Lepisosteus oculatus: one gene and its partners. The protein of the gene in region 2 purifies or fractionates together with the protein of the main gene of each other region. This does not show direct contact. Links are inferred from orthologs where the notes say so. Each region holds a gene or a part of one and is shown on either strand. Other genes may lie near its edges.

Region 1 (7,307 bases), on a different chromosome or scaffold from region 2:
ATAAACAATACCATAAAAACTACTGAGCAATTCATTTAAAGCTTGCATGCTGCATTATTATTCCTGGTGGACAGTTGTTTTTTAAACATTACATGTTCTGGAACAAAGTGAGTAAAGTCTCTTTTGTGAGCTTAAAAGCAAGGGGAAAAAAATCATTTGCTATGAACACAAGCACTGTACAGAGAAAAGGCCAATTTTCAAAATACTTACAAACAGAGTGATCGGATACCCAATGAACTGTGAATGCTTCTTCACAACTTCCTTGACTCTCTTTTCCTCAATGTACTCAGTCTGGTCCTCCTTCAGGTGCAAGATGACTTTGGTGCCTCTACCAATGGGCTCACCTTCAAAAAAAGTTTTATTAGTTAAAGGTTCTTGTTTTCTACAGCTTCAAGAGTGTTGTCCTGCTTTTTAGTAAGTCTTTGGCAAAAAGTAAAGTGTTCTGGAGAAAAGGGTTTCACCTGGCAACAGGTACCACTCCAAATATGAATGATTTTGAAAATATAATGCTCTGCCACCAGTTTTATGGCCTGACCACTTTGCAGGATGAAAATCCAAAAGCTGTTGAATTTAAGGTAATAAAAAAGGTTAATTTGTCATCTAACAAAGCCACATACCATGGTCAACCTTGACCGTGAAGGATCCTCCAGCAGATGACTCCCAGGCATACTGTTCATCATCATTGTGCTTTGTGATGACCACAACTTTCTCAGCTACTAGATAAGCAGAGTAGAACCCCACACCAAACTGCCCAATCATGGAGATGTCAGCACCAGCCTGGAAGAGCAAACATTGAGATAAGAGTTTAACCAACAAAAGCCATTTACTATTAAACTGTTTGTGCAATGGCACCGCTAAGACGTTACATTATTAATGTAAATTATTTTAATGCATTTCTCAGCTTTGTGATGCAATACCTGCAAAGCCTCCATAAAAGCCTTTGTGCCAGATTTGGCAATGGTTCCCAAGTTATTGATGAGGTCTGCCTTTGTCATCCCAATTCCAGTGTCAATAAGAGTCAGGGTACGCTCATTCTTGTTTGGAATGACATCAATCTTGAGGTCCTTGCCACTTTCCAGTTTGGAGGGATCGGTCAAGCTTTCATATCTGATTTTGTCCAGTGCCTAAAAATCCATAACATTTACATTTTAATAAAGCAGACAGGATTGAGAGGTGTTTAGGTAATCAAGAGACAAATAAAAATATTTTTACAATACTTTTAAAATGTAAGCAAGAGGTATATTACAAAACAGCCACAGCTGTTTTTAAATAAAGCAACATTGAACCAAGCTCGATGGAGGTAGGGTTCATTAAATAGAAGTTCAATCACATGTGACCAAAAATCCTGAGACACAGGGGACTCACATCAGAAGCATTGGAGATCAGCTCCCTGAGGAAGATCTCTTTGTTGGAATAGAAAGTGTTGATGATCAGAGACATCAGCTGAGCAATCTCCGCCTGGAAGGCGAAAGTCTCAGCCTCCTCTTCTTGGCGCATTTCTTCAGGCATCTAAAAAATAAAAAGTAAAAAAAAGAATGATGAGAAACACTCACTTATTTTTACACAAATACATACAGGGGTTAAGGAACAGCGGAGACTAAATAAAGGGCCCTGTTCAGCCACCCTGGAGTGCAGCACCCAACTGGGTGACATACAGCGGCCTGCAGCCCCACTACACAGCAGATTAAGTACAGAACATTTTCCAGTGTGGAATTCAGACAGGATATCAGGGTTAACAAGGCACCTTGGGACTACAGGGTGTGCCAACATCACATAAGACACTGATGGGAAAGGGATCACCAAGAAAGGGTATTTGTGCAGCCCTGAGCAGTAACTGACAACCGCTTTGACTTGCCTATCCCTGGATTACATACAGCACGTCTTGATTTTGTACTCTGGAAGATTAAGGAAAATTCTATTGTTTAACAATAAATCAACTACATTTTTCAAATGTAAATTTTGACCAGCAGCAAACTACTCCAACAACTGAGCTTCACACAATAAGCCATTAAATAAAGCAAACCTAAATCCAAAGATAACTGCTTATAAATGAGCTATTGTGAATACATGAGACACCTTAACTGAACCTCAACCAAAAACAGACTCGCGAGTCTCGGGGTAAAATGAAACCTTTCTTTGAATTTCGAGCTGCGTTATCGAGTACAGCAAGAGAAAAATGAACAGTGTGGCGCAATGCAGCATTCTCCAGCCTTCACCTGCAGTGTGCCAGCTTTTGGCAGCACAGTGGCACCCAATCATAGCTGGGAATGCAAGTTAAACATACCTCCTAAGCAACAAAGGAGCGAAGATCGTGTTAAAAATAGCACGATCTTCAACGGTAATTTAAAGAAAGGGAAGGGACAGACTCCATTTTATTTTCCGCACAATCATTCAATACATTCGAGACGGAAGTGACGCCGGAGCCGAACAATATGGCGGCACCTGCTATGCAGTTTAACGTAGAACACGTGGGTTTAACCTTCTAACAAGAATAAATAATAACTATGCTGCAAGTGAAAGAATAGCACATCTTTTTCACTTCGGCTTATCTAAAAAAAAACATAACGCTATCCAGTCGATTACACATTTTTTACTGCTTATGTCCACGGATAAATCGTTCACATACAGGAAGACAAAGCGTGATACAGCATGTTATTCACGTCAGAGCTAGCGATGTACTTATTTCATGGAACAAACCGGGAACGTCTGTAAGTTTTAGATCTCTTACAGCAAACTAATGTCAATCGGAGGTGCTGGAAATGTATCTATAGAATTAAATAGTTAATCATCACGATTCCATCAGAAACCATTGTACTAAACAACGTTTTAGACGCATATCTACCTTTGAGAGAAATTTACTCTGATCACTAATAAGCTGGAACATTCCCAGCTTCGGGGAACTAGATATTTCTTTTCTCCCATGTTTTATGTTTCTTCTCATTCAATCCAGCGATCAGGAGGCAGCCTTGTACCTTGGACCACTCTTTCGAAACCTCATCTCTCATCAATGTACGTTTTTTTTTTACAAAATTATTATGCTCACCTATAAATACCACATATAACACTCATAAAGGGGAAAGAAACGTACCTTTAACGTTTTAGCTGTTGTTCTTTTCTTGAAATAAATGCAACCACACAGGCTGATCCCCAAGCACTCTGACGCTGAGAAACTGAAAGGGATTTCCTTTTAAAAGACAGTATCTTTATACCCTCTGCGCTTGCCGATGTATCCATCCGCGTAAACAAGCGCTATTTCCCTGTTCTTGCAGCCTCCCAATGAGAAACTGGAATGGGTATTTATTCAGGTCTATGTATTGTGTAGTGCGTAATACGTAATTAGAAATAAGTAAATACAGTATTAGCCTTTAAATCATTGTATAGGATTTTCTAAAACCAATCATAAACACAGCACCACTGTGCTTAAGGCTGCAGTCTCTTGTCTTAAGGTCATTGCTCTTGCTTGGCTCTTTGTCAGTCTATTATGGGTTTTATTGCACCAGTTCAAAACTTTCCCCATCTTGTCGGGTACTGATGATTTATAGAGACTATGACAACCTGCCAACACACCAACCCTCGAAGATTTGCACGGGACAGCCTTGTAGGGTAAAAAAGATGATAACGTGATACTCAAATTTGAGGGCATTGTACATGAAACAAAAAAACGTGAGATGTGGTACTTTTCCATGTTATATATATATAAAATCGCTTTTTCGTCGCAAAGAAAATATTTTTGTTGTATTATTACATATATCCAAAAAATCTCAATAACACAATTGTGTTGGAAATGTATGTGAAAATATACATAAATGTAGTGTGGCTTTGAAATGAGGTTGGGGATCTAGCACTAGTATCTGGCAGTAGCTGCTACTTCCAAATCAAAATTATCATGAATATCAAAACGTCAACATTGCTATATGATACTGTACATTAATCTGCCTGTTGGCAAAACACTTACCCCGAGCCTATTTTCAGAACTGTCTGGTGATACTAATGATGACTGTTAATAAGATGACAGATGAAACAACAACAGTAAATTGTCCTATAGCTTTTAAGAGGCAAATTAAAAAAAATATCACAACTTTTTTATTGTATCTTTAAGGCAGGAAAAGTAGAAGTGTATAAACCATGTACACATCACGGTGAACATGGAGAAATATTGCAAGGCACCATTAGAAACCTTGGAAACATACTAAATGTGTAAAGTGTGGTAAATTCTTTAAAAAATAGAAAGGATAATGGATAATACCGTGCGGAATACGGTACAAATTTACTGTATTTCATTTTTCAGAAGGGACGTCACGAGAAGGGGTGTAAAGTACAGTACATACGGTGTATATCTGAATGCTATGGTATGAATCTTAATACATAATATACCAATATCGCTTTTACGTTAACGTTTGGTTATATTTTACTTGTGATATTTTGTTAATATCCTCTTCCCATCTTTAACTCCAAAATGATTTTTTTCTATAATACCAAATTCTTCATGGCTGAATTGATATGCGCTACATTTCTACTTCTCACGTGTGATTCATTATGGAACTCCTTACTCCAACGGAAGGATACAGACATACCCGCGAATGCGTGCTTAGGTTTTTCCAGAAATTTCTGCATAAACCCCGCCCGGGTTCCTGACGTCACAGGATGTTAAATGCGGTGTTCTTGCCGGGCTTCGTTTTCGGTTGTCGTGCAACAAGCTGCTTCCATAGCAACTGCGCAACTGCCTCCGTAGTTAAATATATTTTCTTGAGCTGCATTAGAATTTATGTGTACAATCCAGAACATTCTTAATTTTGAATTTACGATTAAATATTGTGTCGATATGTGGTTATAAAATTTAGGAGAGTATGAAAAAAGAAAAATATTTAAAGTGCTGTTTTAATTTAAAAAAAAAACGATAATAATAATATTACCACCCCTTTTTATTATACAATAACATAACTTATTATACAATAAATAATTTATTGTCACAATGGATGTTTAGTTTTAACTATCTAGTTCTGGTTTGCTTTTAATACTATTTTTTATTGGGTTGTTGCTACCCATACAATAAGGACTGGTTAAAAGGTACTCACAGATCCTTCAGTCTGATGTTACGTATCGTAAATACGGTATGTCAGAGTTTTTTAACACTGAAATACGGTCAACATTTTGAGAATATTAAATATGGTAGGTATGTTCAACGTATTTTTATATTTGATATAATTTTAAGGCTAATTTCATGTACAACACCGGCACATTTATCAGCACATTAATACCATCATCATAATAATAATATGATGCTTCCAAAAAAAAAAGAGAACACAATGTTTCGGCCGTGTCCACGGCCGAAACGTTGTGTTCTCTTCTTTTTTTCAGCGTGGAATAAACCTATTACTTGTTCCTTTGCAGCCTACGCATGCTGATGCAGCTACCCACCTGAACTATAATAATAATAATAATAGCTTACACTTATATAGCACTTTTCTGGACACTCCACTCAAAGCACTTTACAGGTAATGGGGATCCCCTCCACCACCAACAGCAGCCATAGTGCGCCAGAACGCTCACCACACATCAGCTATCAGTGGGGAGGAGAGCAGAGTAATGGAGCCAATTCATAGAGGGGAATTATTAGGAGGCCATGATTGGTAAGGATTACACCCTTACTCTTTTTGAGAAGCGCCCATCCAAAGGATGGTGCCTGTTTACAGTGTAGTGTCCCCATCACTATAATGGGGCATTAGGACCCACACAGACCACAGGGTGAGCACCCCCTCCTGGCCCCACTAACACCTCTTCCAGCAGCAACCTTGGTTTTTCCCAGGAGGTCTCACATCCAGGTACTGACCAGGCTCACACCTGCTTAGCTTCAGTGGGTTGCCAGTTGTGAGTTGCAGGGTGATATGGCTGCTGGCCGTAATAGCTACTAGATTTCAGTTCACCTGAGAATTGTGAATGAAAACAAGATTTTCTTTCAGTATCCATAGTATTTCATACATATTAGTTTAGATAGGCTGACCTTTTAGAAAAAATAAAAGCTACTATTGTCCTTCAGACATAGAATGTCCTTTGAATTTTGCTCTAGTATACAGTACCTCCTCTTCAGTACTTCATTCAGGTCACATAGTTTTTGTCCATGTTTGTCAACAACATAATAAATGCTTTATAACATTACCTCTTTTCCCCTGTAGCGTGTGTTGACGTCTATTTGAATATCTACTGAAAACTAGCATTTTGTTTTTCGTTTACAATACTGTTCTGTGCTTCATTGATTTTTCTTATTTTCATGATATACTTGTCTTTTGGAGCCAATTTCCCGATCTACAGCTCTACCTTTTATGTCTCTCTTTTGCTTTTAGTTAAAACAAAAGTTATTTCTTCGCCTTGGTCTCAATGTCATTTCTCTCAAGTGTCCTGCTTAGCATCTCTTGATTTAATCTGTGCAGCTCTTTAGAGTCCTTTGTTAATTTTCCACGTCACATCATGCCAGATTGGCATCACCTTGGGATGAATATTGCTTCCCTCAAAGACCTGGATATTTTATTAATTTATTATCCTGTGATGCATTACCTTCTGGTTTGGGTGCAGTGATATGTCTGATGCAGTTGAGAATAAAAAAGAAGGACCTGTAGCTTTTGTGTCCTGAATGTGGAATTCAAATGAGAAAAACTAAAGCCTCCTTTTCAATCTCAGCATTATTTAATTTTTGGAGTATAGAAATTTCACAAATACAAGTATAGCCACAAATTCACCACACATCATTAGGCTAACAGATGGATTGGTACCAACACTAGTTGCACACTAAACAGTTCTGGGCTATCTTTCTCTCTGCTCACAGATTAGGTACTGAAAGTCAATGTTCTTGCTAAACATTGAGGAACTACTGTAAAAGCCAACAATATTACAAAAGAGAGTAAGAAACACTGTTTTATTACAAGTGCTGGATCTGACTTTTGCAACCTTGCTGTCAGCAGCTCTCACCAGAGCAGGATAAGGCTTATTGCAGAAGTGCAAGTGACATCAAGATAAACTTGTGGATAGAAAAATTGATTTAGATCGTAACACTCATCTATCAGGTTACCAGCTTCACATTTGGTGTTGCAGACTGGACCACAATATTGAGAAGTTACAACTGTACACACTCATCTTCATTGTCTGTCACGGGGTTCAACTGGTTTCTGAGCCATTATTTGCCGTCTGCTGTTGGACTTTGTTTTTTCCTTGGGTCTTAATTCTGCATTGGAGATTCTAAGGACATACTGTCTTAAGAGAGCAGCAGATTTCAGTGCAGTATTCTGTGATTGCCCTTTCCATGCTTTTACATG
Region 2 (6,757 bases):
TCATGGAGAGCTCCGGACAGGTTAATTAAAGGCATGTTCAGTTATGTCATTTAAAGACCATTTTGGTACAAAAACCAGAATATATTTCAATAATATTTTTCGGGGACCACGGTTTCCTCCATTAAAATATTATTTGCTTAACTGATCAATTGCATTTAAAACATGTTCCTAACATTGAAGCGTGGGTGATTTAGGAATGAGTAGATTGGGGTTCTCAAGGAGCAAGACTGGAGATCCCTGCTGTAGCTCTTGATGGCTACATTACAGGTGACCCTGATTTAACTGAACAATACCGCTTTAACTAAATTGAGCAAGTAGGCGTTTGTATTCCATATTTTTACGAATGTACGATTAACGGAGGTTTGTCCCCTAAGACGTGCTGGACTGTGATTTTTCTTGACCATGTTTAGACCTTCTGTATCAAAAACATTATCAGCAGTGTTTCGGATTTTGAAATAATTAAATCGTCAATTTGGGATAGGACTCTTCAGTGCCAGACCTCAAGGGGTTTCATATCTGAGGTTAAACAGTATTTTTTTTCCCCCTAACCGCAGCTGTTTGATATCACGAGTGCGTGGTGCACGAGTCCCACCCCCCGCGCTGACAAACCGCGGAAGAGCCGCTAACTCGAATAACGCGGCTTTGCTCTCACCCCAGCCTCGCTTCTCTTTAGGGTTAAAAAAATAAGAATAAAAACAAAGAATATGAGGACAAAAGAGCCGAGGCCATTGAACACATTTGCTTTCCAGGATACAGGATCATTTGCATCCATAACCATCACTACAAATGTACCAACACCGAGAACTGGGTGGACTCAAAACACTGACAGCACACGGCTCTCTCTCCCAGCCACCCGGCATGTTTACTGGTCACCCTGCTGTCCCAGCCAGGGGTCCTCCGACACCTGCTGCACGGAGGGGCGCGTGGAGGGGCTGAACTGCAGCAGCGAGCCGATGACCGCGCGGCAGGGCGCCTCCACGGGCACCTCCTGCGGGTACACGAGCGCCTTCCGCTGGATGCGCGGCAGCTTGCTCACGTTGGAGTCGTCGAAGGGCATGCACCCGGTCGCCATGACGTAGAGGATGACCCCCAGGCTCCACACGTCGTACTTCTTGGGGTCGTAGGGCACGCCCAGGAGGACCTCGGGCGGGGCGTAGGCCGCCGAGCCGCAGTAGGTGCTGCTGACCTCCGGGTAACCCAGCGCCTTCCGGCCGAAGCCGAAGTCGGTGAGCTTCACCTGGTTGTCCGCGGTCAGCAGCACGTTCTCGCACTTCAGGTCGCGGTGCACGATGTCGTTGGCGTGCAGGTAGCCCACGGCGCTGACGATCTGCGAGAAGAGCACCTTGGCCAGCGGGCCGGGGATGGAGCTGAGCTCCTGGACGCGCTGCAGGAGGTCGGTGGTCGCCGCCTCCATGACGATGTACAGCTTGCCGCTGCACACCTCGATGAACTCGTGGACGTGGACGATGTGGGGGTGGCGCACGCCTCTCAGGATGGCCAGCTCCCGCGGGAGGAATTTGCAGACGAAGTCGTGGGGGGCTCTCCTCCGGTCCACGATTTTGATGGCCACCTGCTGGGGGTATTTCTTGGTGGTGGCCAGCTTGACCTTGGAATAGCTGCCCTCGCCTATGGTCAAGCCCAGTGTGTATCCCATTAGCGTCAGAACCTTGTCCCGGGACATCTCTGGCTCTCCTCCTTTAAGGTTTATGTGCAAGAGCCATCACGCCATCAGAGAGCCGCTGCCCCTGGTCTCTTCCTCCTGTCCAGGCCTGTGTGGTTTGTGCCGGTACCGGTCTGTGATCCAGTCGTCCTTATGAAGTTTAGACACACGTCACCCGGTGACCTCTGTCGCGTATGAATGGCCACACGTCCCCCAGCAAGCCATTGAAAATGATTTCAGATGACCCTTCCGCTCTTTAGAATGACAAACTGCCCTGGATTTCTCAATACGTAAATAAACACAGGCTTTCGAAAAATTCATTTGATCCAGTATTTAAGGGGCAGGGCTTCGGCCAGTCGTTATTGTGAATGTATTATGACGTTTTCGGTAGCTGGACCTCGTGTGTGTGTTTTAGGTGATGTGTGACGTATTTTCCGCTATTGCTGGACAGAGGAGGGCTGGGCTGCGCTTCGGTCGTCCGGTAGTTGATACAACAGTTAGAGAAACGCCCCTATCAGGTAGATTTTCTTACATTTCGGAGACGTCTTTTCAGAAGCTACTTACATTTATTTGGATCTGTCAGTTGTGCATGTACACGGAGTGATCTGAGTGAAGCATATTGCACAACTGAACATCAGCTTTCAATCGAGGTTTGATGATTTTTCAACCATCAAGCCTAGAGCCCCTTCAAAGCTACTTTACAATGTTTTCTGTTTAGTTACGGGTTGATTTAAAGATACGCGTCAAGATTCGCATTTTCTTTATGTTCATATTACACGGTTAAAGTTAATATCATGTTACTGTATGGTTTTTGTTTGGGAAAGCACCGTAAATGATAGATTCTTTCACACTATTTACGTTATGCACTAAAACTCCCCTCATAAAAAAAAATATTTTGGGCAGAATATCACAATATGTAAATAATACACGGACGTAATATATATGCGACGCTTTACTTTCCAAGTAAAGTTAAATGCCTTTATTTTAGTCTGCGAGAAATTCAACTACGACTCCACAATGAATAATTTTTTGAATTATCAATGAATAATTATTCCATAATCATTTTTGTGGGTGTTTTAGTGTTGCGAAATGCAAAGGCATTTAATGCTTCTATAATAAATTGATATATATTTAAAAGTATTCAAAAATATTTAATGGGATAACTTTTATTTTTTTAATACGCAGAATAGACTAATATTTAACGCACTTTTATGTATCGTAGGGGTTATACGTTAAAACACGCCTGGATAAAAATATTAATATATGGCATGAGAAATCAGTGGGGAGTAGGACGATAGTAACTCAAAACAGGCACTGAGGTGCCAAGCCATGCAGAGCTTTATAGATGAACATCAGGATTTCAAAATTGACAAAACCGTAGAGGAACCAGTGCAAGGACTCCAGTATAGGAGTAAACGGTTATCGGTTAGAGTTATCATATCGCATATCTTTAGGGGACGATGGCATTTACATCTTGATTTTGGACTCCCGTTGATCTTCTGGGGTAGGGAAAACTATTGCGTGTAATAAGGAGAATTCAAAGTAGTCCTTCCAATTTCCATACGCACTGCTGCGTTCCCACTAAGTCAGTGGTAGTTTATACTCCACCTGCAGTACTCTGCCAAATCCAGCATGGCGGAAGCGTGCTGTCGGAACGGAGGACGTGAAGACGTCATCAAGAAGCGTGGCCAGCGTGTCAACGTCACAGTTCTGCGCGGTTTGCAGCTGCGGTGAGGAACCGAAATGGCGACGTCCAAGGTGAAGCAGGACATGCCTCCTCCGGGGGGCTACGGTTCCTTTGACTACAAGAGGAATCTCCCGAAGAGAGGGCTTTCCGGTCAGTACTGATGCCGCTCAATCGATGAGGGTAAAAAGCGCGGAGGCTTGTGTTTCCCCTCTTTAACCTGGAGGTCTGTTTGGACGGCAGACGTAGTCCTGGGCTCCGCTTGTCTTTTCGATAGTTTTGACACCTCTGTCTGAGCTCAGAATTTATAGAAAAATGTAATGTTGTAATTGTAAAAACAAAACAAACACTTCCACGTCTATTAAAGCCATAAATGTATCCTGTTTTCTAAGATGTATTGGACTCATTTCCTTTGTCTTTGATGTAGTGTTTACATGCAGACATAGGTCTCATAAACGTTCATTTTTAATCTACACAGATCTTAATATAAAACGGTTTTTGCATCGCTATATATGTAATGGAAACGATCAATTCTTACTTAGGACAGTTTGCATGCTCCGGTTTTGTAGTATAGGTGTATCCGTTGTAGCTTACCTGTGAGTAAGGTAATGACATTCACCAGGGAGGAATGAATGAGTTCTGAAAACTCGCTTTTCGTTTTCCTGTTTTTTATTTCTCCTTCGAGAAAGTTTGGTTTATTTTTATTTAGGTTTCTATTAAATAACACCACCGTCCAGAAGCGTGAGAATTTCAGGTGGAACACGTCAGTGATGCACAAAAAGCTTACGTGTTCAGTCACATCTCACCCTAAAACTCTGGTTACAGTAATTACAGTCCTTACTTTCTATATTGGCCCAGTTGGGTTGTTTGATTTGCACGCAGTTAAAGTCGTAACACAATGTATAATACATTTCACAGACAGTCAACCCTTTTAACAACTAAGAAAATAAAAATAAACATCCTGGAATGAAGTTAATCATCTGGTTTTTGCACCAGGTGCTCTTTTGGATTGGCTATTGCAGTTTCTCCTCTTCTCCCTGCCCCTGGGGTGGACTGATGCCGTCCCCCTTGTTCCCCGAGCTTGAGGAGTAGTTGCTCTCTGACAGTGGAGTTGTCCGTTGATCTTTTCTTTATTGTCACTTTCAGGGTATAGCATGTTTGGTATTGGTATCGGGGCCCTGCTTTTCGGTTACTGGCGACTCTTCAAGTGGAACAGGGAGAGACGGTAAGCTGGCCTTTCTGGTTCAGACTGTCTTTCAGAGAATTGCTTTTCAGGAGATTATATTTATTCTAAATTAAAAAAAAAACAGTTTTTCCCATATTGTTTGTTGGTTTTCCCCAAAGAAAAGTTTCCTCTGTGTTTATTACGTATATGTCATGAAAGAATTGTACTGTACAAAAACAACGTTCTGGACTACGTTCAGAGCAATCATTCTATCAATATGCGCTTTGTAAATAAAACATTTCAATCTGTTCCTTTTAGACTCTATTTCCTATTTTACCCTAAGAGACAAGGAAACCATCTAGAGCAGAGGTTCCCAACCTATTACAGCACGCGGCCCACATGACTGACCATAAAAACTGGTCCCATACAGAGACCAGGCCGTCCTCACCGTTTTGAAACGGGCTCGCTCTGTACCTCAGCAGTAGCCTCATCGACACCGGTGATCAGAGAAAATACGTGCATACGAGCTACAAGCATGGCTTTACAAAGACCGATTACTGATTACAGAAGGAGTCCAGTCAGCACCTCACAAAAAGTAAATAAAATAAATAAAAATAAAAATAAAACAAATATTGTAAAAACTAAGGCACCAGTACAGCTCTTTTCTTTATTATGATATCTCACACGCTTAACGCTAGCCTTGTCCAAAACAAAACTGAACGGGCGGGATCAAACGAGCTGAAAGTGTTTCCAGAAGTGTGGGGCAGCCTTCTGTGCCCATGACCTTATGAAGACGCTGAGAAGCAAAAATCTGCACGGTAACTATCAGAACAATTCTTAAACAGAAGTAGATGTTAACTCCCCCTCCACTGGACGCGTGAATGCACAGTGACTCAATAGCAGCGGCTTGTCTCAGTTCCCAGGCACGGAAAGCCCAGAGCCAGGTACTCACTGCTATGTTTTCTCTTCTTTAGTTTGGGTTTGGATTTTGGGTTATCGGTATGAGACACTGAAGCAGTTTCTGTGCTTGTAGATGGGCCTTCCTCTGTGTCTCATAAGAGAACCAAACACAAGCCATTTCTCCATGATATGAAGGGTGATTAGGCAGTTAATACTACATTCTGCATTAGCTTTCTCGTCATGTCACATCTAATAATAATAATTAATAATAATAATTGCTCACACTTCTATAGCGCTTTTCTGGACACTCCACTCAAAGCGCTTTACAGGTAATGGGGACTCATTACCTGTAAAGCTGTCATGCAGCATGCTAAGCCATAATATCTATACATTATTTATATTGTTATTTATATTATATATATATAATGTTATATATTTATGATTCTTTCACAATTACAACAATCATTTGACAGCCCCTCTCCAGTACTGCCCACTGGCCCACAGGTTGAAAACCGCTGGTCTAGAGTAGTTTATTGCCATATGTACTTGTACATTAGAATGTTTAATTTCACTGATCTCTTGGGACATACACAGTGCGGCACATTGTAGAGATCAGGAACAATAAATCTGTTGTGGCAAAATGAAATCTCTGAATATTGTCCCGTGTGGATACAGTTTTTCAACTAATTTCTAGTTGTATTTGCTTAAACCTTCCCATTAGCAATGGTGTGTCATGGAGATGTGCCCGCCCTCAGAGAGAGCTGCTTCAGTGGCCGCACGAAACTGAGAACACGAATGCCCATCGGCATTGTGCCAGTATAATTTGCCCGGGAAGGGTGCCCTGTCCTGCCCCATGGGGGGGGGGGGGGGGTTGTCATTTACTGGAGGCCCTGAGAGGCTGATGGGAAAGGAAGTCTGTCCTTGGGGTTGGCAAGTCTTGGGGATCCATGACTATTTGAGATTGTTTTTTTTTAGAGGCTCAGGTTTGTTAATGTGTCCGTGTGAAAGACACGCCCGTGTGAAAAGGTCTCGATAAAAAGAGAAAAAAGTCTCCCCAGAGTGCGGAGTCGAGGCCGCGCGTCATGATGGGTGGTGTTTGCGTCTTCCAGGCGGCTGCTGATCGAGGAGCTGGAGGCTCGGATCGCGCTGCTGCCTCTGCTGCAGGCCGAGCACGACCGCAGGTGAGGGCGCCAGCCGGGGTTCGCCGCACAGGGGAAGAGGCGCTGGTTCTGGCGTTCCGCCTGTCGGGGGGGAAAGTGGAAACTTGCAACGTGGGCTCAAGAGTGTGTAGTGTTCCCCTCCTATCAAAAAGCACGCAGGGCTCCAGTGGGTGAGATGAGACGAGGTG
Region 3 (7,831 bases), on a different chromosome or scaffold from region 2:
GGGGCATTCTGAGCAGCCAACCAAACCTCAACTTCATGTCTTCAGGAGGTGGGGTGAAAACATGGGAGGAGAATGCAAACTCCACACAGAATCGAACCCCAGACCCTCACAGCTGTGCTAATCTCCCTTGCCCATGTGCTGCCCTGCGTCTTTGGTCTATAAGGCTGCTAAGTATCAATCAAACCAGCAAGATGTGCCAAATGGCCACTGCTCATCAGGAACCATTTTCTATCTTCTTGTTTTGTTACACTTGTATTATACGTTCCCATCGTAATACCCACCCAGTTTTAACTGGCTCAGCATTTCATTACAGCTCCCAATAACCCCATGCAATAATCCCAATACCAAAAGAAGGCAAATAAGAAAGGGCAGTGTTGCTCCTCCGACCTTCTGGCATCTGCATGAAACAGAGTTCTGGCCCTTGCTGGTGTCACTACAAAACCAGCAGGCACCCAGGATGTGGCAATAGCTGCCATTTGGTAGAGCTGACCCTGGCCCACTCATCTGAACCATAACCCCAGCAGTGCTCAGCCGGCAGCACGCCAGCACTCATCTCAGTCACTGCCTGTTACAAACGCGATCGAGGCTCTACCCCATGAAACCCGGGCCGGCGGCCTGCACAAAACTAAACTTGTTGGACTGGTTTTTGGCAGTGGCGGTGTTGGGGAGGACACACACACACTAACCTTGCTGAAGCCCTCCCTGCTGAGGGTGTCCACATTCCAGGGCTGCTTCTTCTCCTCCCTGCGGTGCTCGTCCAGCTTCTTCTCCCACTTCTTCTCCTCCTTCCTCAGCTGCTGCTCCTCGGCCTGCAGCTTCGGCAGCTCCGCCTTGGCGTCGTCCGTGCCCGAGATCTCCAGCTCCCGGATCTTCTTCTGCAGCTCCGCCGTCTTCCGCTTGGACTCCGTCAGCCCCTTCTCCATCTCTTCCCGCTTCTTCTGGAACTGCTCCATGCGCTCCACCCTGGCCTAATCGGGGAAGGAGGGCTGAGTAAGAGGCAGGGGAGCCATTTCCGAAGCTGTGCCTCACAGGGAAACGGCAGCCCCCAACAGAAAGAGAAAACACAGCTGGTCTATTTTACTGTATTCTGCAGTGACAAGGCCTTTAATCTGTATAAATTAAGAAAAGCAATCATCCTGGTACAGTTCTCTCTGGTACCTATTACACCACCCCAGTTTGAGTATTCACTTTTTGTCCACACCAGTTAACACTTCTCCAGTTCCTGGGTACAACCACCGTATTACACGATTCTTGAAGGGCTGCATCAGTGTATTCTCAATAATGTCTCATTTCCATGGCTAACAATTGGTAAGAAACCCATTTTATTTCACTTCCGCCTCCTTAAAAGTCCATTTCTTAAATTTCTGCTTCCTGGAAATTGTAATACTTTGCGCTTTGGCACTCAGTCTGTAACGCACACAAAAACACTTCACAGCACAATATATTGTGCACACCACGCTGGTGGTGCACTCATCTGTTTCTGTTAGCCTGTCCTGACTTTGATGAGGCGAGATCTATACAAGCACCTCCTTGCAGATGCACTGGCGAAGTGGGTGAGAGATTCTGCCATTGATAATCCTATTCGTCTTTGCCTTGGAAAAAGTCTCCCATTAAAACTGCTTCTTATGCACATTTCTTTATTACACAGTGCCAAATTATAATCAGCATCTGCTGGTCTATATCTTACTCCGAACCCTGTACATTTGGAATGTTCCGTTAATGAGCCTGTCCCACACAGATCCAGAGACTCGAGCTTCCTGAAGCTGAAAACGTTTTATCTATACAGCTACAGCCCCTCCCCTCCTTCATCTTTCCTGCCTCTCTGGAACAGAGTGGAGTGTCTCCACTAATGTTACATTTCTCTCCATCATTCTCAGGCACCCAGGTCTCTGTGATTAAAATAACTTCACAACTGCCTGCTAACGTGGTAGCTTCTCTCTCTCCTCTACTTGGTTTCCCCTACTCCTAGCATTTAGATATAAGCACTTAAATACCTGATCATTTGATATGTTTTTCCCTTTGGCTCTCCATTGATCTATATTCCCCATGCAACTTCCTTTTCCGCTGTTTTTCTTCCTCCCACCTTCCTTTCTAGTTTCTAATGCCCTCCCCTTTGCGTCATTAATTATCGCAATTACTTCCCTCCTGTCAAAGGGCCGGGATGCTAAACATGTAGTTAAAAGTAAAATCAACCGAGAGTGAAGCAGCCAGGGGTTAATCCCCCCAGTGTGGGCGGGAGGGCCGGCACCAGCGGGCTAGAAAGAGCACAGCTGTTCGAGGGAAGTCGCATTCCGCCGGGATCAGAGCACTCCTGGCACAGCAGCCCCCTTCCGAAAGCAGGCAGGTCCCACCAGCAGCCGAGAGGCCGTGCAAAGCCTGGTTCCTGCCCTCTCACACCCAGCAACTGTGGCTGACAGCACCCCCAGAACCACATACGCGCATTAACAGCATCAACTGAGCACAAACAGCGCAGACCCCGGGGGGGATGTATTCCAAAACGTGTTGGGAAGACTTGAGGAGTGCTTGAAGTACCGCCTTTTTGCAAAAACACATCGTCGGGTCTTTGTTATTGGTGCACCACAAAGTACCGTGCACGAATCAAGGCAAGCTCTTAGGAGTAGGCATTTTAAATATTATAAAATAAAATGAACTGCCTTGTTACTCCAGTACTTTTTGCAGTCGTGGGCGGTGGATTAGTGAGCCCCTAACAGAAAGCTCCCCCGGCCCCTAGTAAAATTCTACGTTCACAGACATGCTTATGTGCCCTGCAAACGCCATCGCGATTCATTGTGTCAGGCCCGATTATTTAATTCACCTGGTGCCTCCAACGGAACAGGCTGGGGGTATCGATGTTGGGGTGAGTGTCGTCTTCATCATCAGATACTTCAATGTGATCCCACACGCTGTAGTCTATAGTTGTCATCTTCGCTGCGAGGTCGGATCAAGCACGGACAGCCCGGCGCGTGAATGAACTCTAAAAGATAAGAAATACAGCACACAAACAAAAACCTCAACACTTATTGGCCCGGTGATCTAAATTTTGAAGCAATCTTTAAAAAAAAACACCCCAAGAACACTCCGATCTACCTCCAACCCGTCACTCGCCTTGCCTCTGAATCTTTCTCGAAATCTCTTTTGCTTCCGTTTGAAGTGTGGAACGTCACTTCCGTACGGCCCCGGAGCCTCCCCTCTCTCGCGCCCCTTCGAGAAATCGGTGAAGCGCCGCTCTGTTGCTCGCGGCGGAGCAGCAGGAGCGGCTCTCTAGCGTCGACGTCCCTCCCCCTTTGTGGCTCGAGTCTGGAAAAGACCATGCAAATATGGCTGCGCCCACCCGGGCAGCAGGCGGCCGGACATCCGTACGGCAAGAGATTATACTATAGGTATGAAGAAAATATTTTGTTCCAAATTAAATTCAGCACTACACATTAAAAACATGATTAACTCCAACTGGAAAATAATCTGTTAAACATAAGTCTAGGGTTGATATCCACAAAATTCATTTTATATTAAAGTGGACTATTTCATTTTTAACTGACATTGTGCTACAGTCTTGTTTTCAGACTATAATGTCAATCTCAGTTGTTTTCTTTTTTTAAATTTTATTTATGCTTAACAAAAGAACAAACATTACAGTCGCTCTTCTGCTGTCGGTGGACCAGAATTTCCAAACCCGAGTCCCACTTTGGCTAGGGGGACACTGAGCTTGATAAAAAACTGTCTCTCTTCTTTTGGCATCTTACAAGCACTTTGAGATGGCGGCTTTTAAACGGATTGAATAAAGTTGGTTGTTTCTACACTTCGCTGGCTATTGTGATGGGCGCCACGGTGGAGCAGTGAGTTTGCACGCTCTCCTCATGTTCCCACGGGCTTCCTGCAGGCGCTCCAGTCCAAAGACATGCTGGCAGTTTAACTGGCTTCTGGAAAAGTGGCCCTGGTGCGAGTGTGTGTGTGCTGTGTGTGGCCTGCAATGGAGTGGCGTTTCGTCCCCAGTGCAGCCTGCCTTGCTGGGAGAGACTCCAGCTCCCCCCGACCCTGAATTGGAAGAAGCAGTTAGAAAACGGAAGGATGGGCATTGTGAAAAACTACTATTTGGTAATGGCGTTTCCAGGCACAAACCCCACTCCTCCCTCAGACGCCTGAGGAGCGCCGTGTTCTAGAATCTGGAAGCGTCTCCAGACACGTTCCAGTTTTAATTCGTCCTTCATTACCAACAATACATATTGGCAATGGACCAAACTTGGGCACAGCGGGAAATTCTGGGTTTAAAGAAATGCTGAGTTCTGCAACTTGCTTCCAAATATAAAAAACAGAAAACACGCCGTCATCACAACTGGACTCACAGCTGTGTAAATTGCTGTGCACAAGTCTTCAACATCCTAGACACAGACAGGAATAACTATACTGTGCATATTGTAACGCATACGGCCTCCATTGCTTGTGAGAGCTGGCTTACCAGAGCGGTGATGTCACTGCCCTTCCCTGTGAATAGCAGGGACTGCAGCCGCTGGGCTGATGGGAGATTTCCCTTTGGCTCAAGAGGCTGGGTCCCTGTTGAGTGATGCCGGAGGCCTGGGTTTGAGTCCCTGACGGTGGGGGGCTGACCTGATGTGGCAGTGGTGAGGGTGCCCATGTGAACCATGTGTAGCGTTACAATATTGCTAGAGCTTTAGATGACTGAGAAGTGTCTCTTAGATTTTAGATAAAGTTTGTAACACTTGGAAGAGTAAACACTTCTAACTTCAAAGCCCAGAGGATGTTTGCTGCGGTCTGGGGGGGTCCCTTGAACAGAAACAACTGTAAAGTCGACCTTAGTATACCTAGGTACCTTGTGGATTAATGATTTTCAAGAAGCAGTACAGACACACACAATATAAGATCACAAGAGCACAGAGAGGGGAGAAAGAGGAAGAAACAAGAAGCAGGGAACAGAGAGGAGTCCGGAGGAGTTGGGACTTGAAGTTGCGCCAAGTGAGAGCCCCTACTTCGTAGAGGGAGACTCGTTGGGCCTCTTCCCATCCAAATCAAACCTGGCTGGAGCTACAGTAAGTATTTGACCTTGTTAGAGAGGGCTTGCTATTCAGGGTTTTTAGGGAACTTGGGTTTCAGGTTAAAAGATACCTCAGTTAGAAACATCTTTCCTGTTAAGGGTGCATTTTTATGGATAGGGATATAGGCTCCCATTTATTTTGTGGCATCTGGGGTGCAGAGAGAGAGATTTAACTGCAGGTTGCATTGTATTTAGTTAGAAGCCAGCTCATCTTTCATGTGCCCTCTGTAGGCATTAAGAGTTATATAACGCAGGCACCGTCAATGTGGTTATGCTCAGTTTCTGTCATACTAACATGAACCGAGGATGTCTGTGCAAAGGAGCCCTGCCACATGAAAGTAAACCTCACACCCGAAGAAGGCTCCACAGCCGAAACGTTGTGTTTTCTTTCTTCTCTTATCAGAATGGAATAAACCTTTACTTGTTCCGTTGCAGCCTATGCATGCTGACGCAGATACCCACCTACACTTTTTTCTCACAGATGTTAAGCAAGAGTTGCATTTTCCTTTCCAGAGAAAGCTGATTTTTTTTCCCATTATGGACTAGAATGAACAGAACTGAAAGGCAAATAAAATGTATTTGTGTTGCCAACGCTCTGCCCGGAATAGAAAAGTCTTTAGAATACACAAAAAGCAGAAATCCAATTAAAATGATGAGTCACACCTAGGGAGGCTCACAAATAACAATTTGCCTTGAAGTGACAGGAATGCTAATCACATGCAATTAGAACTCAAGAGCCCAAATCTGCTTCTCTCATCCATCCATTATCAGACACATCATATATGTTGTGGGGCAGTAATAAAAAACACAATCAGAATTTTTGTGATGTATAGTTAAGTGGAAAATTTAAAGCAAAGTTTTTTATGTAAAACCTCATTTAGAATGCTGTGTACCATTTTAGTCACCACATTAGAAAAAATATACTGCTGTTCTGGAACCAATCCAGAAAAGAGCAACCAGATACATTATAGGATTTACTGAATTAATTCTTTGTTCTCTGTACAAAGGGGAACTGATTCAATTACCCGAAATCCTAACAAGAATTTGACATGCTCAACCCAATGGACTTACTTAGAATCAATATTTGAAATATCAGGCAGAGGCCACAACTGGAAAGTACAGAAGTTCCAAGCCCATCTAGTCCATTTGGTAGTTAGCAGTTAATTCATCCAAAGATTTTATTCAGCTGATTCCTGAAAAACATAAATCAGGGTATCGGAATCAAATACATGGCTGGGTAGATGGTTTCAAACTCTCACCACCTGTTCTGTTCTCAGTTTGGAATGCACGTCCACCTGAGTTCCTCATGAATAGGCCTTGATATAAATTCCTTCCACCCATTTTCTAGCCCCTTTATCCAGGGTTTGTGGGGGAGCTGGAGTCTATCCCAGCAAGGATACACCCTGGACGGGATGAAGGTCAGTCATAGGGCAGATACACAGACACACAGGGCTGATTTTCACAGAAGATCAGTATGTTTTTGGACTGTGAGAGAAACCCGGAGCACCTGGAGGAAATGCACGCAAACACAGGGAGAACACACAAACCTCCTGCAGATAGCACCCCAGTTTTAATTTAAAGTTGTAGTTTGGTTTGTTACCAGCAGAGGGCACTATCAGGTTATTAATTATTCTGCATTGTAATTGAATCATCATCAATATTAATTTTAGTTTAATAATAATAATAAAAGTCAAATAATTGTACAACTAAACATTCATTAAATAACTTGAAAATATAATATTTTTAGTCACAGAAAACGATTTTCAAAAGGATCAATTTAATTATTAAAAAGTCAAATTATTTGTTGAATGAAGAAATTGAAAGTCTAGACACTATTGTCACCAGGGCCAGAATTACAAAGTTGTTCTGTTTTGTTATAGATCAAGGAGGCTCTGGTTCTGCTCGTGCAAGTTTGGTCTCTTTGAGGCACCAGCACTTCAACAGCTGGGAGAAGTCTTTTAATTGGTCCGACGATGGCCAATAATGACATCATTCAGGACCATAAAAGCAGAGGTGCAATGAAATCCTTTGAAGGCACCATGGTTCCAATAAAGCTCATTTAAAGGTTCAATTAATTAAATGAGAAGAACAAAAACCAAACCAGAGAGTGTGTGGGAATCTGAGGATTTAAAACAGAAAGTCCTGCTCTAGATCAGACAAAATAATAAAATTACTCTTATTTGAATGTTTAAGAACTTTCCTTTGTCTGCGGATTTAATATCTTGAAGAAGAACAAATGCATTTAGCTGCAGTAACGGTAAAGCTGGATAATTTGAAAGAGAACTGTGTGTGCTAAAGGTTTTTCTATCTTCCATCTCAAAATCCCTCTCAGCCTCTTTGATAGCAGCAGTGTGCAGAAGCCGAGAGTAATGAGACACAGCCTTCCCCCCATGTGCTCAGAAAGCCAAGTTAATTCCCACCAGAGAGCCATCCCTCCCTAGCCTCGACAGGTCCTAATTCTCTCCCCTTGGCATTTCTCTCTTTCATTACCCTCCTTCTCTCTTCCTTCGGGGATTCAGTTGTGCGAGTGTGCTGGGATTAGGGATTTCAAACGTGTAGAGAGAAAGACAAGGCACCAGAATAAATTGTGTGCTCTAAATTCATCTTATTGAGGAAACCGGAGTTCAAGGGATAAACAGCTTGCGACCTGGCGTGGTGATGGACATCTTGCCCCTTTTCGGAGGCTTACAAGTGCAGATACACCGTTCAGCAACAGGCCCAGCAAACCTGTGGCCAGGCAACAGTAGAACCGATTCCCTCCAACTTCCCTGCCTGCACAGCCAT
Region 4 (8,059 bases), on a different chromosome or scaffold from region 2:
GTCTTAAGGTGTTGAGAAGCCGAAGCCGCTCGCCCCGCCTTTGCTTATATTGTTGAGTCGTGCAGTGATGAGTGAGGCGTGCAGACCCGTGCTGCGGGCAGTGGGGAACGGGGTACCCCCGACATGCCGAGGCGGACGAGGTGAAAACGGGGCGATAAATGAGCAGTGCGAGGAGAGGTTCACTCTCGCGCCCCTCCTCCGCCGCTGCGCTGCTACAGGCGCCGAAGAGCTGAAGTGTGACTAATAACCGTCCGCGAAACCGCTATCGCACCCGCCTGGGACCGCTGCTCTGGGGACACAGGGAGGTGGAGTGAGGGCGAGATAACACGGAACTGGGGGTGGATACATCAAATGCACGAGAGACATGCTAACGAAGCACCTTGAATTTAATTGAATTGATGAAAGCAAGAGATAACATTATTAATCGGAGCCCGACCCACTGAGGTCTGCACATGCGCTTCCCGCTCCGCCCCCCACCCCCCTCCGTACCAGCTCTTCCCGGCCGTGCTGCACGAGCCGCACGCACTGCCCGAGCGCGCTCAGCGTGTCCCCGCAGCTCGAGGGCAGGGAAGCGCAGTCAGCTCGTGCCCAGTCCCGCACGGACAGCGATTTGACAAGGCGCGCGGACAGGTTTGCACGTCTTGGAACACGTGGTTGGTAAAAACCCAGTGCAGCGTGGACAGGGTGCAAACCACGTGTTCAGTCAGGGAAACGATATAGAAATACGACAGAGATGATTTTTTAAGCGCATTACCCCGAGGCTGAGAAGAACAGGGCTAGGTGGAGAAGATCTCCCCCGTTTTTATATAATCTGTCCCATTTCTGAATTACCCAAAACAATCCCTTTTCTAATTGAGACTCTTAATATAACCAGGACAGCTACTTCTGCTGATCTTTGTGTTTTCAGAGAAGCAAAACCAGTTTACACCTTATCTAAGTAATCCTGATTGATTTTAAAAGGTGTTTAAACATCTGCAGGCAATGGAATGAAGCCAGTCATTGAATTACTTTAAACTGGATGTAAGTGAGTACATGTGAGTCTGCAGCTCCAAATCTGTTTTTGTAGAGCCAGATTAAAAGGAAGCTAAAAATCCGAAGAGAGAAAGGCTGAAGACTTTGGGAGTGAAGGACTAGGGAATCAATCAATCAATCAATTAGATTCTTATATTGTTGCACTTTCAACCCAGAGCATTCTCAAGGCACTCTACAAGTTAGAGTGCGCCAGCAATCAGTGTGTCCTCTGCAGGCGGGGGAGTGATCAGTGTGTCCTCTGCAGGCGGGGGAGTGATCAGTGTGTCTTCAGCAGGCGGGGGAGTGATCAGTGTGTCTTTAGCAGGTGGGACAGTGATCAGTGTGTCTTTAGCAGGTGGGACAGTGATCAGTGTGTCTTTAGCAGGTGGGACAGTGATCGGTGTGTCTTTAGCAGGTGGGACAGTGATCAGTGTGTCTTTAGCAGGTGGGACAGTGATCGGTGTGTCTTTAGCAGGTGGGACAGTGATCAGTGTGTCTTTAGCAGGTGGGACAGTGATCGGTGTGTCTTTAGCAGGTGGGACAGTGATCGGTGTGTCTTTAGCAGGTGGGACAGTGATCGGTGTGTCTTTAGCAGGTGGGACAGTGATCGGTGTGTCTTTAGCAGGTGGGACAGTGATCGGTGTGTCTTTAGCAGGTGGGACAGTGATCAGTGTGTCTTTAGCAGGTGGGACAGTGATCGGTGTGTCTTTAGCAGGCGGGCTGTGACTGAGCACCAGTACATGCACGACAAGGGTCGGGCCATGCAGAGCCTGAAGAGACTCATCTGGCTGTCCAGCGCCATGGGGGGTCTGCACACTGCCAGCACCCGCGACCTCAGCGACCCCAGCGACCCCAGCCCGGCGCGGGACCCCCCTGCTGAAGAGGGGGCGCACGGACCCACCACCTGCCGGGGGGAGGCCCTGCGACTGCTCCTGTCCCTCCTGGGCAGGGGCTCCCTCCAGGCCCTGTGGAGCGCCCTGTACAAGCCCCACCTCACCAGCCTGCAGGACAGCACGGACCACGGAGACGGAGAGAACTAGACCCACAGGGCCAAGCAGCTGCCAGTTTCATTGATCTGTACCGAGACCTTTGTATATTTGTATTTACAGCATGCATCCAGTGGTAATAAATTTGGTCTAGTTTAGATTTCTGACCTCTCTCTTGTGCAGCGGTAAGCGCAAAAGAAAATGTCGGTGTTGTGACGTATCCCTGACACACGTTTCTTAGTGCTGGAGCGAGATGAAAGCAGAGGCAGGTATAGCACGAGCCACAAGACAGACTGCGACACCGCCAGTGCTGCACTGCGGCCTGCCGGGCACTGATGTCAGAGAGGCCCTCTGTGCACAGAAGAAGGGCTGACGTCCTAGTCACCCGATTCTCTCGCTCAGACCCCCAAGAAAGACCTGGAGAGCAAAGCCCCCCCCCCCCCTTCTCTCTAGGGTCTCACTCGCTTGGCCTCTGATCACCCCAGGGTGATCTGTGGACTGGCCGCCTTCTCTCAGCTCACGATCGTCCGTGTGCCCCTGTCCGCTGTCCCCTGTCGCAAGCACGGCCGCTTCAGCTTTTTCAGACGAACCGGCGGAGTAGACGGCGGCTGTGGGAGAAGACTGCCTGTGCCAGAGGCTTTCTCGGGGGAGAGCTTCAGGAGCTCGGAGAGAGCCCCGGGGCCCCAGGAGCTCGCAGGGAGAAGAGCAAGCACTGCTGACAGCAACACTCTCTGAGATTTCCGCACAGCTTCCTTTTCCAAAGGCCCTACATACTCCTGCTTGACACATTTACACTTCGCTGTATGAATAGGATGCTTTTGAATCACAACTGGATTATTGTAGAGCTGTATTGGGTTTGATAAGCCGATTAAATCTTCCGCTTTGGTGAAGTTCAAGGCACCTTTCTGACAGCTCCATGTGCCCATTTCCTCCCCTCACCCTGCCTGCAGACGAGGCGTTCTGCGTGAAACACACGAGCGAGCAAATAGACATTCTGTACAGGAGAAGATTCATACTGTATGTACTGTCGGGTAACGTGATAAAAAATAAAATCTGGTGGTTACTTCCGGTGCAATTGGACCCTGTCTTTTAGGACTTTTTTGTCTCTTGTTTCTGTCAGCTTCCTGTATCACCTTCCTCGTACCACATTGCGAAGGCGCCGAGTCCGAACGGGTTACTCAGAAAGTGTCAGAAGATAAAGCCCAGTGGAAGGAAATGAAACAGATTGGATGCTGAAGCAGCTTTCTGTGTGTCTGGGTTCTCTCGTTGCCTTATCTTGGGGGAGCGGTATGAAGTGACAGAGCGATGGGAACCCCTTGCTGCCTCCTCTTGTTGTGCCCCGAAGCCCAGCACCCCAGCAGACCCAGTGAATAAAGCAGGCGTTGTGCCCTGTTGCTGGGGGGTGTGCTGTGGCCCCAGTGCCGGCGTGTGATGGCATTCGCCCGCAGTTTGAGAGTGGTGCCCTGTCTTTGCCTCCTTGTCTGGCCTTCTGCTGCCCTCTGCCTTCCTGTGCCTCAGCCTCACACTGGCGCTAGGTCGCGCCAGTTTGGTGAAGACCTGGAACCTGTCGGCTTTTACAGAAAAAAGCGCCTGTGTGTCTTTTACGGTACTTCATGTGAAGGCCGCGTTGTGTTCTGATGGAGGTGCCCTTACAAGCATTCAGTCCAGTCAGTCTGCGTGGCACTCCTGCTGATATTCCCCTGCTTTCAGAACGCTGGTACCATGACATGTTTCCTAAGGGTCACACAGAGGATTGCGGAGGATTATAGAAGCCAGGAATAATAATGCTGGAATCTGGTGTTTATGGAAAAAACATGTTCATTTTTTCCATGTGCAGAATGGTGTGTGTGTCTGTGTTAATGTGTGTGTGTTTGTGTGACAATGTGTGTGATAGTGCGTGTTTGGGTGAGAGTGTGTGTTTGGGTGAGAGTGTGTGTGTCTGTGTGACAATGTCTGTTTGTGTGAGAGTGTGTGTCAGTGTGAGAATGTGTGTGTTTGTGTGTTGTGTCTCTGTGAGAATATGTGTGTTTGTGTGAGAATGCGTGTGTTTCTGCCAGAGGATGTGTGTTTGAGAGTGTGTGTGTCTGTGTGAGAATGTGTATGAGAGTGTGTGTGTCTGTGTGCGAGACGGTGTGTGTTCATATACTTCTTTAACTTTCCATTTTTTGCAGGCATCTAAATGAATGTATCGGTTTTGCATCCACGCACTGGCCGAGCCCGTTCGGACTGCGGTCTGTGAGTTAGCGCACTGTATTTTCCACTGTTCCAGGCACTATTTTTAGCCTTTGAATGAAAACTCTCAGCACACTTCCCACAGACAAATAGCTACTACGCGGCTGCTTTTTTTTATCAGATTAGTACAGGACATGTTGTACTACTTTACTTCCTCACTGCGGTGTCCTGGACTGAACTCCTCTCTCACGTTTTGTCCTTCTTGCTCTCAAACACACAGGCGGCGCCCCGCTATCTGCAGAGAGACAGAAGGGGGAGAGGGGAAAGACAGGCCACAGTGCCTGGCTCCTCGAAGCAGGACACAGGCTGTGCTGCAACTGGATTTCACAGCTGTAGCACTGAGACTGTCACACTAACAAAACTCCGCAGACAGCAAGACTGGCTGCTTGCATTTGTCAGAAGAAATTAGTAATGAGCACTTCCTTCCTCTCTGTCTGTGAATGCAAAAGTGATACGGTAAAAACAGACTCCGTAATTGTTTTGTTTTTAAACCTCGATTGCGCATGCATATGAAAGAGTTGTGAGAACAATTAAGCAGTTCCAGTGACCTTCTCCACAGCTGAAATAACTGTCTGCAGCAGGACCCTGCGTCTCACTCGGCGCCAGCAGACAACCTGTAATTGTCTGTTCCAGTCTGAAGGCACACCAGGGCTGCAATTGCATGCAGGCATGCTTTGGTCCCTGCTTGAAGGACATGAGCGCTGGCGTGTGTGGCTCTCAGACACTCTCAGGGCCGATTTCATCACTTCTCACACAAGTAGTCGTCTAGCAGCCCGTCACTAAGGAAGCTACAATGCATGGTCTGCACACTCGTCCCACACCTGGGAGGGAGGCTGGGGATCTGGTCAAGCAGTGGAATAAATGAAGAAGTGGCTTCTGGGTGTTTGTGCAACATAGATTTGAATTTCTGAGTGTTCACTCAGGCCAATACACTTGCAGGCAATGCCTTCTCTGCCATGTGACCGCCGTGGGCACAGGTAAGGATCGACTGTTTCTGATCAGCGGGGCTGTGGGTCCCAGCTTTGTGGTTGCATCTGAGTGGAAACACTGTGTGTCACTGCAGTGCTGATGCAGGGTCAGTGCACCACTGGGACCTCCCTGGTCTGGGCCTGGTCTCCAAACAGATCAGAGCGCATGGGAATAATTGCTGGGGGTATGAGCCTGGGGTCCTCAGAGACAGAACCTGTCTGTGTTTTTAGACTAGGAATGTGTATCACCCTGACCATGCAGCAGGCAGTGTCGGGGGAGAGCTTGCTCATTTGTATATAACATAGAAAGAGACAGAGCATGTACTGCGCAGCTGTGATGAAAGCTCCTGAGCTATTTCTGGTTGCAGTTAGTAAATGCACGGAACACAATGTAACTTATGTCAAATATCATCTGCCCACGGTGATCTCACTCGGGAAAGTGATGGTGATGTGTTGAGTCTGTGTCCACAGTCATTTATTTTAATCAATCACAGAGGTGTTTTTCTCCCCATGCCCTCCAAGACAGTTCACAAATTTAGTGCCAAGAGACCAGTGAGATTTCAAAGGTGCTCTGCATACTTTGTACAGTACTGAAGAACATGCCGTACAACTCCTCTTTACAAACAGAGCACTCACAGCACAATCATGGTGAAACACAGTACACACGAAACGATCATGGTGAAACAGCACAGTCATGGTGAAACACAGCACGATTACAGTGAAACACAGTACACACAGCACAATCATGGTAAAACAGTACACACACAGCACAATCATGGTGAAACAGCACGCACATGGCACGATAATGGTGAAACAGTACACATGGCACGATTATCGTAAAACAATGCACACTGCACGATCATGGTAAAACTTTGGGAGAAGTGTAAATGAATTTTGTATTTCTTATTATTTTGAATTTTTGTAATTGGCTCAGCTGGACTTCCTGAAACAGCCAGTGGTGACAAACATTCAGGGTATCGGATCGGCATCACGACCTCAGGTCAAATACCGAGACCATCGGAATGTCACTAAGAGTGTGTCACAAACCGAGTGTGACTGTCCCCGAGGTAAGACAAAACTGTCAGAATGTTTTCCGTGGTAAATTTAACAGACAAGTAAAACATTTTGACACCCCATTGCCTACTGTCAACAAGGAGCAGATTGTCCGAGATCACCCAGGGAAGGTTTTCTAAAACCTCCCTGAACGCGCACCCCGGACCCCCAGACAAGCCGCTCGCAGCGGCCGACAGAGGCGGGACACCGGCAGACTTTGGAAGAAACTGCAGCCCGACAGCAGGCACAGAGGCGATCCTCTGCTGGTGAACAAACAAGACCCTTCTACTGCGGTTTCTCTCTCCCAGAGAGGAAGAACAGCGAGACGGGCGAAACGTGAAAACGATTTACAGGGCAGCAGTATGTACAGAACATTTTGCAAAGTTCTTCAGCTAAAGGAAACTGATTCGTACTACAGTTATCTGTGTTTTAGTATCCATGATAAATATCCATTGTACTGTATATAGAAATTACACGAGCGCCAGTGGCCCCGCCCCTGTCTCGCGTCCACCTGTACTGTCACTGTGCTTCACGAGCACATTCTGTTCCAGCTCCGCTTGGCTCGCGGCCAGACTCGCTGCACAGCAGGCTGCGGCTGCGCGGTGCTCGGTGAGGGAGGCTGCGGGGGGGTTGGGGTGTATGCGGGGGGCGGTGTCATGTGGGTGGGCTGTTGGCTGGGCGAGTATTGCCCTCCAGAGCCACCCCCCCCCCCCGACGTACACACCCACAGTCACACACACTTCCACAAATATACACACACTTTAACACTTCCACACTCACTATCACACTAACATACACACACTAAACATACACACGCTCTCTCACTCACACATACTAATAATCACACAGTCTCACACACTATCATAAACATCATATCATGTACACACGCACACTCACTCCCTCAGGGCTCTGGTCTTGAGTTGTGAGTTCAGATGGGACACTGTTACTGCCCACCCCAGACAGGAGTTCAGCTCACACTGGAGTTTGTTCACTGAAGATGAAAGGCAAAGGCCCGAAACACTTGAATTTGCTTGTGGATTTGAATATAATGCACATACTGTCCTTGGTTCTGTTCAGCGCTGGAAGCTGAAGTCTGGAATTAAATGCCGCGTAAAAACACAGGGAAGCGCATCCGTGTCTGGAATGGCAACAGGAGGAATGAACAGTCATGCCGAAGCTGGAAGTAACAGAAAGCATGGTAGAGAAGTGGCTCTGTTATTTATAGCCATTTCGGTTCCTTCAGTTCTTGTCTATAAAGACTCAAGCCCAGAGAGCAACATCTTGACACTCCTTTGAGCCGCTTGGTGTAGCGGCGCAGAGCAGTGCGCAGAGTGGCTCTCTAGGGGGATGGTTTAGGGGGATCAGGGGGATGGTTTGTCCCTCATGTCTAGCTAGTGGCAGCAATAGCTGTTTGTTCCGATCAGGACTCCCCCAGTAAGTATGGTCCCCAACCCCACCTCTAGAGCCTGCTTTGTGTTTCAAGGGAGACCTTAATCACTGACACTAATTGATGCCATTAAGTGATCTGCTTGCTTGTTTGGGGTTTTGTTCACCTGTTTCTGCATTCAGTCCAGATTTTAAACATACCTAGCTTCTTCCAAGCACGTCAGCACACACAACATTATGCAATCTGCCCCAACATGTTGAATAAGATTTATGAGAACTTCCATTGAAAACAGCTCTTACTAGCTGGTCGATCCACGTAGAACAGATGCAGGTACGAGTGGCACTGTATCGGGCACACCACACAGCGGGTATGGCATTGTATAAGATACGCCCATAGTAAGGGTGACATTGCACCAGACACAA

What was found.
Region 1: the proteins of tssk6 (region 2) and hsp90ab1 purify together in Homo sapiens (affinity purification with mass spectrometry; 4 studies listed by BioGRID and IntAct, with this or other methods). This does not show direct contact. The link is inferred for Lepisosteus oculatus from reciprocal best matches to the Homo sapiens genes TSSK6 and HSP90AB1.
Region 3: the proteins of tssk6 (region 2) and cdc37 purify together in Homo sapiens (affinity purification with mass spectrometry; 4 studies listed by BioGRID and IntAct, with this or other methods). This does not show direct contact. The link is inferred for Lepisosteus oculatus from reciprocal best matches to the Homo sapiens genes TSSK6 and CDC37.
Region 4: the proteins of tssk6 (region 2) and fkbp5 purify together in Homo sapiens (affinity purification with mass spectrometry; 4 studies listed by BioGRID and IntAct, with this or other methods). This does not show direct contact. The link is inferred for Lepisosteus oculatus from reciprocal best matches to the Homo sapiens genes TSSK6 and FKBP5.

What each region holds. Positions count from the first base shown.
Region 1 is NC_090697.1:43,351,603-43,358,909, forward strand, and holds the start of hsp90ab1 (heat shock protein HSP 90-beta), read right to left. Parts: upstream 3,199-7,307; 5' UTR 3,089-3,198; intron 1,510-3,088; coding exon 1,366-1,509; intron 1,125-1,365; coding exon 918-1,124; intron 778-917; coding exon 618-777; intron 345-617; coding exon 211-344; intron 1-210. UniProt on the Homo sapiens protein: Molecular chaperone that promotes the maturation, structural maintenance and proper regulation of specific target proteins involved for instance in cell cycle control and signal transduction. Undergoes a functional cycle linked to its ATPase activity.
Region 2 is NC_090724.1:7,190,776-7,197,532, forward strand, and holds tssk6 (testis-specific serine/threonine-protein kinase 6), read right to left. Parts: upstream 1,925-6,757; 5' UTR 1,682-1,924; coding exon 863-1,681; 3' UTR 838-862; downstream 1-837. Other genes in the region: ndufa13 (NADH dehydrogenase [ubiquinone] 1 alpha subcomplex subunit 13), read left to right, coding at 3,404-3,497, 4,491-4,569, 6,519-6,590. UniProt on the Homo sapiens protein: Serine/threonine-protein kinase component of the sperm flagellar doublet microtubules. May act as a regulator of sperm motility by mediating phosphorylation of sperm doublet microtubule proteins.
Region 3 is NC_090706.1:15,649,595-15,657,425, forward strand, and holds the start of cdc37 (hsp90 co-chaperone Cdc37), read right to left. Parts: upstream 3,199-7,831; 5' UTR 3,106-3,198; exon of another isoform or gene 3,088-3,105; intron 2,975-3,087; 5' UTR 2,924-2,974; coding exon 2,816-2,923; intron 969-2,815; coding exon 687-968; intron 1-686. UniProt on the Homo sapiens protein: Co-chaperone that binds to numerous kinases and promotes their interaction with the Hsp90 complex, resulting in stabilization and promotion of their activity. Inhibits HSP90AA1 ATPase activity.
Region 4 is NC_090700.1:40,510,257-40,518,315, reverse strand, and holds the start of fkbp5 (peptidyl-prolyl cis-trans isomerase FKBP5), read left to right. Parts: upstream 1-4,861; 5' UTR 4,862-5,171; coding exon 5,172-5,206; intron 5,207-8,059. Other genes in the region: pth4 (parathyroid hormone 4), read left to right, coding at 1,724-2,051. UniProt on the Homo sapiens protein: Immunophilin protein with PPIase and co-chaperone activities. Component of unligated steroid receptors heterocomplexes through interaction with heat-shock protein 90 (HSP90).